Canis lupus familiaris: one gene and its partner. Each later gene encodes a partner of the first gene's protein in a complex. Links are inferred from orthologs where the notes say so. Each region holds a gene or a part of one and is shown in the gene's direction. Other genes may lie near its edges. The genes, in order: NHP2 and NOP10.

Region 1 (4,515 bases):
TACCCCGAGTAATGTACTTGGTGCATAAACGTTTACTTCCTTCCTCCTGCCAATCAGAACTGAGAGGCTTTCAACAACTGAGACTTTGGTCAACACATTTATTGGAATCAGGTTTTTTGAGGATGAAATTCTCCATAAGGACGCAGTCCATCCTGTCCCATGCATACATGTGGCAGTACTTGGCCCCTCTGTGACCTGACACTTTATGGGGGGGGGGGGTCCTACAAGGCTTTAAAAGTTGACAGGAACACCACTCAGAGACAAGACTAGAAGAGCACCTTTCAGGGGCACCTGGGCGGCCTAGTTAAGCATCTGATCTTTCATGATCCCAGAATCCTGGGATGGAGCCCCACTTTAGGCTCTCTGCTCAGTGGGGAACCTGCTTCTCCCTCTTCCTCTCTGCCTGCTTCTGCTCACTCATGCTCTCTCTCTCCGTCAAATAAATTAATCTTAAAAAAAAAAAAAAAAAGGCGGGGGCGGGGGTGGGGGTGGGGAATGCCTGGTGGCTCAGTGGTTGAGCGTCTGCCTCTGGCTCAGTGTGATCTCAGGGTCCTGGGATGAGTCCCGCGTGGGGTTCCCCACAGGGAGCCTGCTTCTCCCTCTGCCTCTCTCTGTCTCTCTCATGAATAAATAAATTCAGCCTTTGAAAAAAGGTTTAAAAAAAAGAAAGGAAAAGCACCCTTCAGAGCCCTGCAGTTCTGTGTTCAGGGAAGCCCACGGAGCAGCTCTCACAGCTTCAGGACGGCTTCCCCAGGAAGGCAAGAATTGCTACTACTGGACCTACAGGGGTACAGCAGAGTCGTAGGCAGGAAAGTACCGGCCGCAAAGCTTCAGGCAGGGGCTATCTTTTCTCAAGAAACTCCAAAGTGAAAACATTTATAAAAGATCATTATCCTGTTATGTTGTGCGTACCATTTTGCTTACTTTCAAACTATTTTTTCATTGTTTATATAACATATTTTCATTGTTCAACTGATTTATGTTTCTATTTATGAAAACTGCTTGGGGTCTAAGGTTAGGATGGCCGGCATCTTGATTTTTGCTATTCTAATGGAAAATACAAAAAACTGACCTTGCCACCTGAGTGGCTCAGTCGGTGAAGTGGCTGCCTTTGGCTCAGGTCATGATCCCGGGGGGGGGGGGGGGGGGGGGGGGTCCTGGGCTCCCTGCTCAATGGAAGCCTGGTTCTCCCTCTCGTGCTATCCCTTCTTGTGCTCTCTCTGTCAAATAAATAAATAAACAAATAATTTTTAAAATTGACTTGATTTTTATTGAATGACTACACTTGGTGACAGAGTGAAAAGTTTAATTTTTTAAGTTGGCTTAACTAACCTGTGCTCCCACGGGTCACCTGACACTTCCAAAGTTCCACTTACCGGCCTATTCTGCTACCTTACCAGTTTCCGGCCTACCGCCTCCTGATCCACGGCAATCAATCTGTAGCAATCGTCGAATTACCATCCAGCCGGCGTTCCAGGAAGCGGGGGAGGTCAGCGGGAAGGCCAGATCACCCCAGGTGGGCCCGCCCCCAGCCCAGCGTCCGCGTCCCCCGACGCCCTGAGGATAGCTGCAGAGCCGCCGCCCACCGCGCCCCAGGTCCCAGCCTCCGGGTCCCCACGCGCCCCGCCGGGGTCACGGCCGGGCAGCGGTAGGAACCGGGAGGAAACAAAGGGGGAGGGGAAGTCCGTGGAGGTCGACGGGGACCGCAGTTTCAGGGAAGGGGGCGGGGGAGTCGGTCCCGGGTGACTTCCGAGCGGGCGGCCGACTGAGCGGAGACACGCCCAGGGAGCGGGGCGACGGGGAGAACGAGCGAGGCATCGTGCTAGCGCGGGGGCCTCTGCAGCGCCCGGCTCTGCCCGGACCGCGGGAGGACCAGACTCCGAGGAGCCCAGGAACCCACTTTCTTCCCTTTCGCAGGCCCCGCCCCTCGCGGGGGTCCGGTCCCCTCGGGCGTGGTTACGCCCCGCAGACCCCGCCCCCTCCACCACCCCCGGAGCCGGCGACGCGGAGCCCTCCCCCGGCCTAAGCCCGCGTCCGCGTCCCTTCCCGCCCGCCCGGGCCCCGCCCCCCAGCCGAGGCCCCCGCCCCCAGCCGAGGCCCCGCCCCTCCGCGGTCCGCGTTTAAAGCGCCGCGGGACGACGATTGGTTGGAGTCGGAGACGTCGTTTCCTCGTTGGCTAAGGTACGGCCGCTTCCCGCAGTACCGGACGACCCGGAAGTGATTCCTGAGGCCCGGGCCACGTGGGTTTGCCGCGCGGGGAGCCGGTTTCCGTGGCCGCCGCGATGACCAAAATAAAGGCGGATCCCGACGCGCCGGAGGCTCAGGCGGAGGCGTGCCTCGGGGAGCGCACTTACCACGAGCTGCTGGTGAACCTGAATCCCATCGCGCAGCCACTGGCCTCTCGCCGTCTCACGCGGAAGCTCTACAAGTGCATCAAGAAAGGTGTGGCCGGCGCGGTGGCCGGTGGTGGCGCGGGGGCGGGCCGAGGCTCCCCGGCCTCCGGCTGACTCTTCTGTCGTTGCAGCCGTGAAGCAGAAACAGATTCGGCGCGGGGTGAAGGAGGTACAGAAGTTTATCAACAAAGGCGAGAAAGGGTAAGGCCCCCCTCCTGCCGGACTTTGCATTTCTGGGTGGTCGCATGGGCATCTCCAATGCTTGGCGGCCCGCCCCCGGGACACGAGGTGATCAGGCAGTCGGTGAGCTCCCTCCGGTACTGCCCGCCGGCAGACAGCATCGCGTCACTTCCAAGAGCTGGGAGGAGCCCCACCGGGACAGTGAGATCCGGGGAAGGGAAGGGAAGGGAAGGGAATCAGCCAGCTCACGTCGGGTAGAGCCCAGCCTCACTCACTCGTAGACTTTTCAGGCACGGTGCTATAGGGAGACAGTGACTTTAACCAAAGACGCACAAAATCAAAGGTCCTGAGACAACTGTGAGGGGATGTGCAGGGTGCGATGAGAATTGACTTCATTACATCTTTCTCCCTCTCAGGCCAGACAGTAAGCGCTTTTCATTTTTATTTATTTTTTAAAAAGATTTTTATTTATTCATTCATGAGAGACACACAGAAAGAGAGAGAGAGAGAAGCAGAGACACAGGCAGAGGGAGAAGCAGGCTCCACGCAGGGAGTCTGATGCGGGACTCGATCCCGGGACTCCAGGATCGTGCCCTGGGCCAAAGGCAGGCGCTAAACCGCTGAGCCACCCAGGGATCCCAGTAAGCGCTTTTTAGAACAAGATAAAGCCTCTCAGTGCTTTTTCTGTTGGGGTGCTTGAGAGAAAAATAGTGCTGGTGCCGGGTATGTGTGTGTTTGTGTGTGCGATGCTCTGCAGTAAATCTGACCTGGGAGAGTGGTGGACAGAAGTATTACCCTCCCGTGGCCTTTGTGAGCCATGGTGAATTTGTTTTTTTTTTTTTTTTTTTTTTTTTTTTATGATACTCACAGAGAGAGAGAGAGAGAGAGGCAGAGACACAGGCAGAGGGAGAAGCAGGCTCCATGCAGGGAGCCTGATGTGGGATTCAATCCCGGGTCTCCAGGATCGCGTCCTGGGCCAAAGGCAGGCGCCAAACCGCTGCACCACCCAGGGATCCCTCTAGACTAGTTCTTAAGGTGCTTTTTTGGCAGGTGACCCCCCTCTGCCCCGCCCCCAGCAGAACTGTCAAATAGGCAGATGGCTGCACAGATTTGGGGCCTGGAAGGGAGAGGCCAGGCAGGAAAGAACAAATTTGGGAGTTATCAGCACACAGATGGCATCTGACGCCGTGGCTGAGGCTCAGGTCGGTCAGGGATCAGCGTGTGAGGACAGCACCAGCACTGAATGGCCCCTCCAAGGAATGGGTGCTGGTGGAGGAGAGCCTGGAAGACCAAAGGAAAACTAGGAGTGTGGGCCGCAGTACTTTGAACTAAGAGCTCTTTACTTGAGTTTGCCGCCCACCTACCCTGAGAGAACGCTTTTCCTTGGTGTCTTCAGGACTCCCAAGGCCCTTGTCCCAGAGCCCTGATACCTTGCCAGCTATGAGTCCTACCTGAGGGTTCTCTGGCAAGCCTTCATTAGTTCCCTGTCCTTCTTGGACCACGCTCATGCTTCCCAGCCTGGCACTTGAGGCCCCTGCCAGGGTCTCTGGCCTCATCCCTATCCAGGATTCCAGAGCCACCCCAGGCCCCCCTCAGCCAGCTCCTGGGTATGTGCTGCCATTCTGATTCTGTCTCAAACGCTTCCCTCCACCTCCAGAGCTCTGCCACAGGCTGCCTGACACCTTCATTCAGCTTTCTGATCTAGTGTCCCCTCCTGGTTCCTTTTTTCATTCTCCTAGGAGAGCTGAGCTCTGAACTCCTTGGTGTCACTCCCGTACCTCACTTGTCCCAGTGGAATCTCACTTGTCACACTGTGTGACATTTACTTATTTGCCAGAAACTAAAGGCATTACCTCCCCAGAGGAAGTGCTCGCCAAACACATTTGCACGCACTCTCGGAAAGCAGGAGATTCACACCTGGAGTCCATGACGGCTGGGGCCA
Region 2 (2,891 bases), on another chromosome or scaffold:
CCCACGTTGGGCTTCCGGTGCATGGAGCCTGCATCTCCCTCTGCCTGTGTCTCTGCCTCTCTCTCTCTCTCTCTCTCTCTCTGTGTGACTCTCATAAATAAATAAGAATTAAAAAAAGAAAAAAAAGAAACCCTGGGCATCTGGCTGTGGCACATGTCCTTACAAAGCTGTCCTGCAGTCCCTGACAGTCCACGACCATCAGCCCTGCAGTCCACAGAAGGTTCAGCTTACCCTTGGCTGAAAAGCACCACTCTATCCAAAACTGCCATTCAGCCTGAAATTCCAAAACCAAAAAGTCTTTTTTTGTTAAATTATTTTGTTGTTTAAAAGTTCTGTTAAATGATTTTAGTTTTTGAAATGGGAAATAAATCAGCATGGTTCTAAAGTCAAACTATGCAAAATGGAATATACAGCAAGTGTCCTTCCCACTTCTTTCCTCTGGAACTGATTTCTCTCTATCTCTCTCTCTCCTTCTCTCTCTCCCTCCCTCTTTCTTTTTGGAACCAAGTTCTTTATTCCAGAGAAAACCAATAATATGTTTCCTGTGAATCCTTACAGAGATATTTTATGCAACTACAAATAAATACAGACTATATTCTAAAAAAAGAAAAAGAAAAGAAAAGAAAAGAAAAGAAGGAAGGAAGGAAGGAAGGAAGAAAGAAAGAAAAGAAAAACCCTTTCAGGCTTTTCTCGGTTATAAAATTAATCGAGAAAATCAAAATTAACAAAATTAAAATTAACAAATGTTCCAATGCTTTTACCATTGTAAATAACACTGCAACAACAATCTTTGTAATGATAACTGGGCTCCCATTGTCCTAAAGAAATCAGAGTCCTATAAAGAGAATTTCTACGTTCTTTTAAAAATTCGAAATAACCCTAGGAGGTGCATCGTATTATGCTATTATTGTTACTCACCACTATAAGAAAGAGCGCTGGATTTGTGGCAAAGAGACCTGAGTTTAAATCTCGGTTCGACCACTGAAATATACTTCACCAGTTTCATAAAATAACTTCACGCCCTCTTCGCTGTGCCTAATATTGAATACCCATCATGCACTCTTTACCGCCAATACTTTAAAATAGGACGGGGGAACCGGATGGAAAAGAGGGGAGGGAAGAAAACTTTCTTCTTTCTACCCTAAGATAAAGGGGCTCGGAATCCCGGAGCCTTTGTTTCTACAGGCCCCAGAAACCCACTGCCTGTGAAATGGGTGCGCATCGCGAGTAGAGGCAGGACTCTGTGCATCGATGTTCAAGCCATATTCATTCCTACCCCCCTCTAGCTCCTAGCAGCGTCTTGCACACAGTGGGCACACTCCACGTGTCTCAGAGCGCCCGCAAAATTGCAACTGGAAGCCGACGCCTGCAAGGTTGCAACTGGGTTGCAACTGGGCCAAATCCCGCACTCCTTCGCCCCCTCCTGGTCAGCGGGAGAAAGGCCGGAATGGACTACACTTCCCGGCATGCCTCGAGAGAGACTACCGGCCTTACCGGAAGGACTTTGACGAACACGTGACACCCTCTCCGCGGGAGCCGGACGGCGTTGGGAGTCGCGTGTGCCGCGTGGTCATGTTTCTCCAGTATTACCTCAACGAGCAGGGAGACCGGGTCTATACGCTTAAGGTGAGACGAGAAAGCAGGTGGTAAATAGTCCTGTGGACCAGCAGGCTGGAGGAGCGGCGAGACGCCCCCGGTTGCCGGGGGTGAGGGGCCTGGGAAGCCCGAAACCTCGAGCGCTGGAAGGAGGGTGCGGCTGTCGGTGTGGGCGCCCGGCCCCTGCCTCTGGTTCACCCGTCTCTGCGCAGCTTCCTCCCGTCCCCTACCTCCGCCTCCCTGTCGACGCTCTCGGGCGGGTTTTCCCGCCATTCCTGTACTGAAATTTTCTTTTTTCTTCGGGCAGAAGCTTGACCCTATGGGACAGCAGACCTGTTCAGCGCATCCCGCTCGCTTCTCCCCAGATGACAAGTACTCCCGTCACCGAATCACCGTCAAGAAACGCTTCAAGGTGCTGATGACCCAGCAGCCGCGCCCCGTGCTCTGAGGCCCCTTAGCTCTCGTGTCCCTCCTGCTACTCCTCAGGGACTTTCCGAAACCAGCCTCTTCAAACTGTGAGCCGTGAAGGCTCCTCGGCACCCTTGCGCTTGGGAATCCGGTGTCCTCGTTGCCTTCGAGCCCGCTCCTGTGAAGCAATCATGGTAGCATCCCTCTTAAGGGAACTAATCAGAATCGTTTCACATCTTGGATCAGATCGAGGTTATTAAAATGATTTGAACGAGTTTTTGTTTTGTATGTTGTGGGGGGAAAGGTAGGGGCTTAAAAACAAAAACAAACAAACAAAAAAAAGAAGATGAGAGGGAAGAGGACCCAAGGGGTACAAGAAGACCACTTGGGAGAAAAACTCGAGTCGCTGCTGTAGCAGTAGTGCTGTGTGCAACAGGGTGTTGGGAATGGGATGGATGGTTGAGACTCCTGCAAGTGTAAGCATTCCCTGAAAAATATCCCTGTGTCACTTAAGTAATTTCTTGCCCCTTGAAATGACATTTGACTCAACTGGAGGAGTTGCTTGAAAAATAATAGCAGCTATACTGTAGAGGGAATGCAGTGAAGTCAGGAGACCAGCATTTTCCCCTTTGCATAATTTTAAGAAAGTCGTTTACCCAGTTTTTTTTTTTTTTTTTTTTTTTTTTTTTTTTTTTTTTTTTTTATTTATGATAGTCACATAGAGAGAGAGAGAGGCAGAGACACAGGCAGAGGGAGAAGCAGGCTCCATGCACCGGGAGCCCGACGTGGGATTCGATCCCGGGTCTCCAGGATCGCGCCCTGGGCCAAAGGCAGGCGCCAAACCGCTGCGCCACCCAGGGATCCCCGTTTACCCAGTTTGGTCTCAT

Evidence for each region.
Region 2: NHP2 (region 1) and NOP10 share a complex: the UniProt entries of both Homo sapiens proteins name them as parts of the H/ACA small nucleolar ribonucleoprotein (H/ACA snoRNP) complex. The link is inferred for Canis lupus familiaris from reciprocal best matches to the Homo sapiens genes NHP2 and NOP10.

Annotation. Positions count from the first base shown.
Region 1 is NC_049232.1:3,653,367-3,657,881, forward strand, and holds the start of NHP2 (H/ACA ribonucleoprotein complex subunit 2), read left to right. Parts: upstream 1-1,531; 5' UTR 1,532-1,648; intron 1,649-2,144; exon of another isoform or gene 2,145-2,200; 5' UTR 2,201-2,282; coding exon 2,283-2,442; intron 2,443-2,524; coding exon 2,525-2,594; intron 2,595-4,515. UniProt on the Homo sapiens protein: Required for ribosome biogenesis and telomere maintenance. Part of the H/ACA small nucleolar ribonucleoprotein (H/ACA snoRNP) complex, which catalyzes pseudouridylation of rRNA.
Region 2 is NC_049251.1:1,036,342-1,039,232, forward strand, and holds NOP10 (H/ACA ribonucleoprotein complex subunit 3), read left to right. Parts: upstream 1-1,470; 5' UTR 1,471-1,572; coding exon 1,573-1,626; intron 1,627-1,903; coding exon 1,904-2,044; 3' UTR 2,045-2,279; downstream 2,280-2,891. Other genes in the region: NUTM1 (NUT family member 1), read right to left, coding at 919-1,006. UniProt on the Homo sapiens protein: Required for ribosome biogenesis and telomere maintenance. Part of the H/ACA small nucleolar ribonucleoprotein (H/ACA snoRNP) complex, which catalyzes pseudouridylation of rRNA.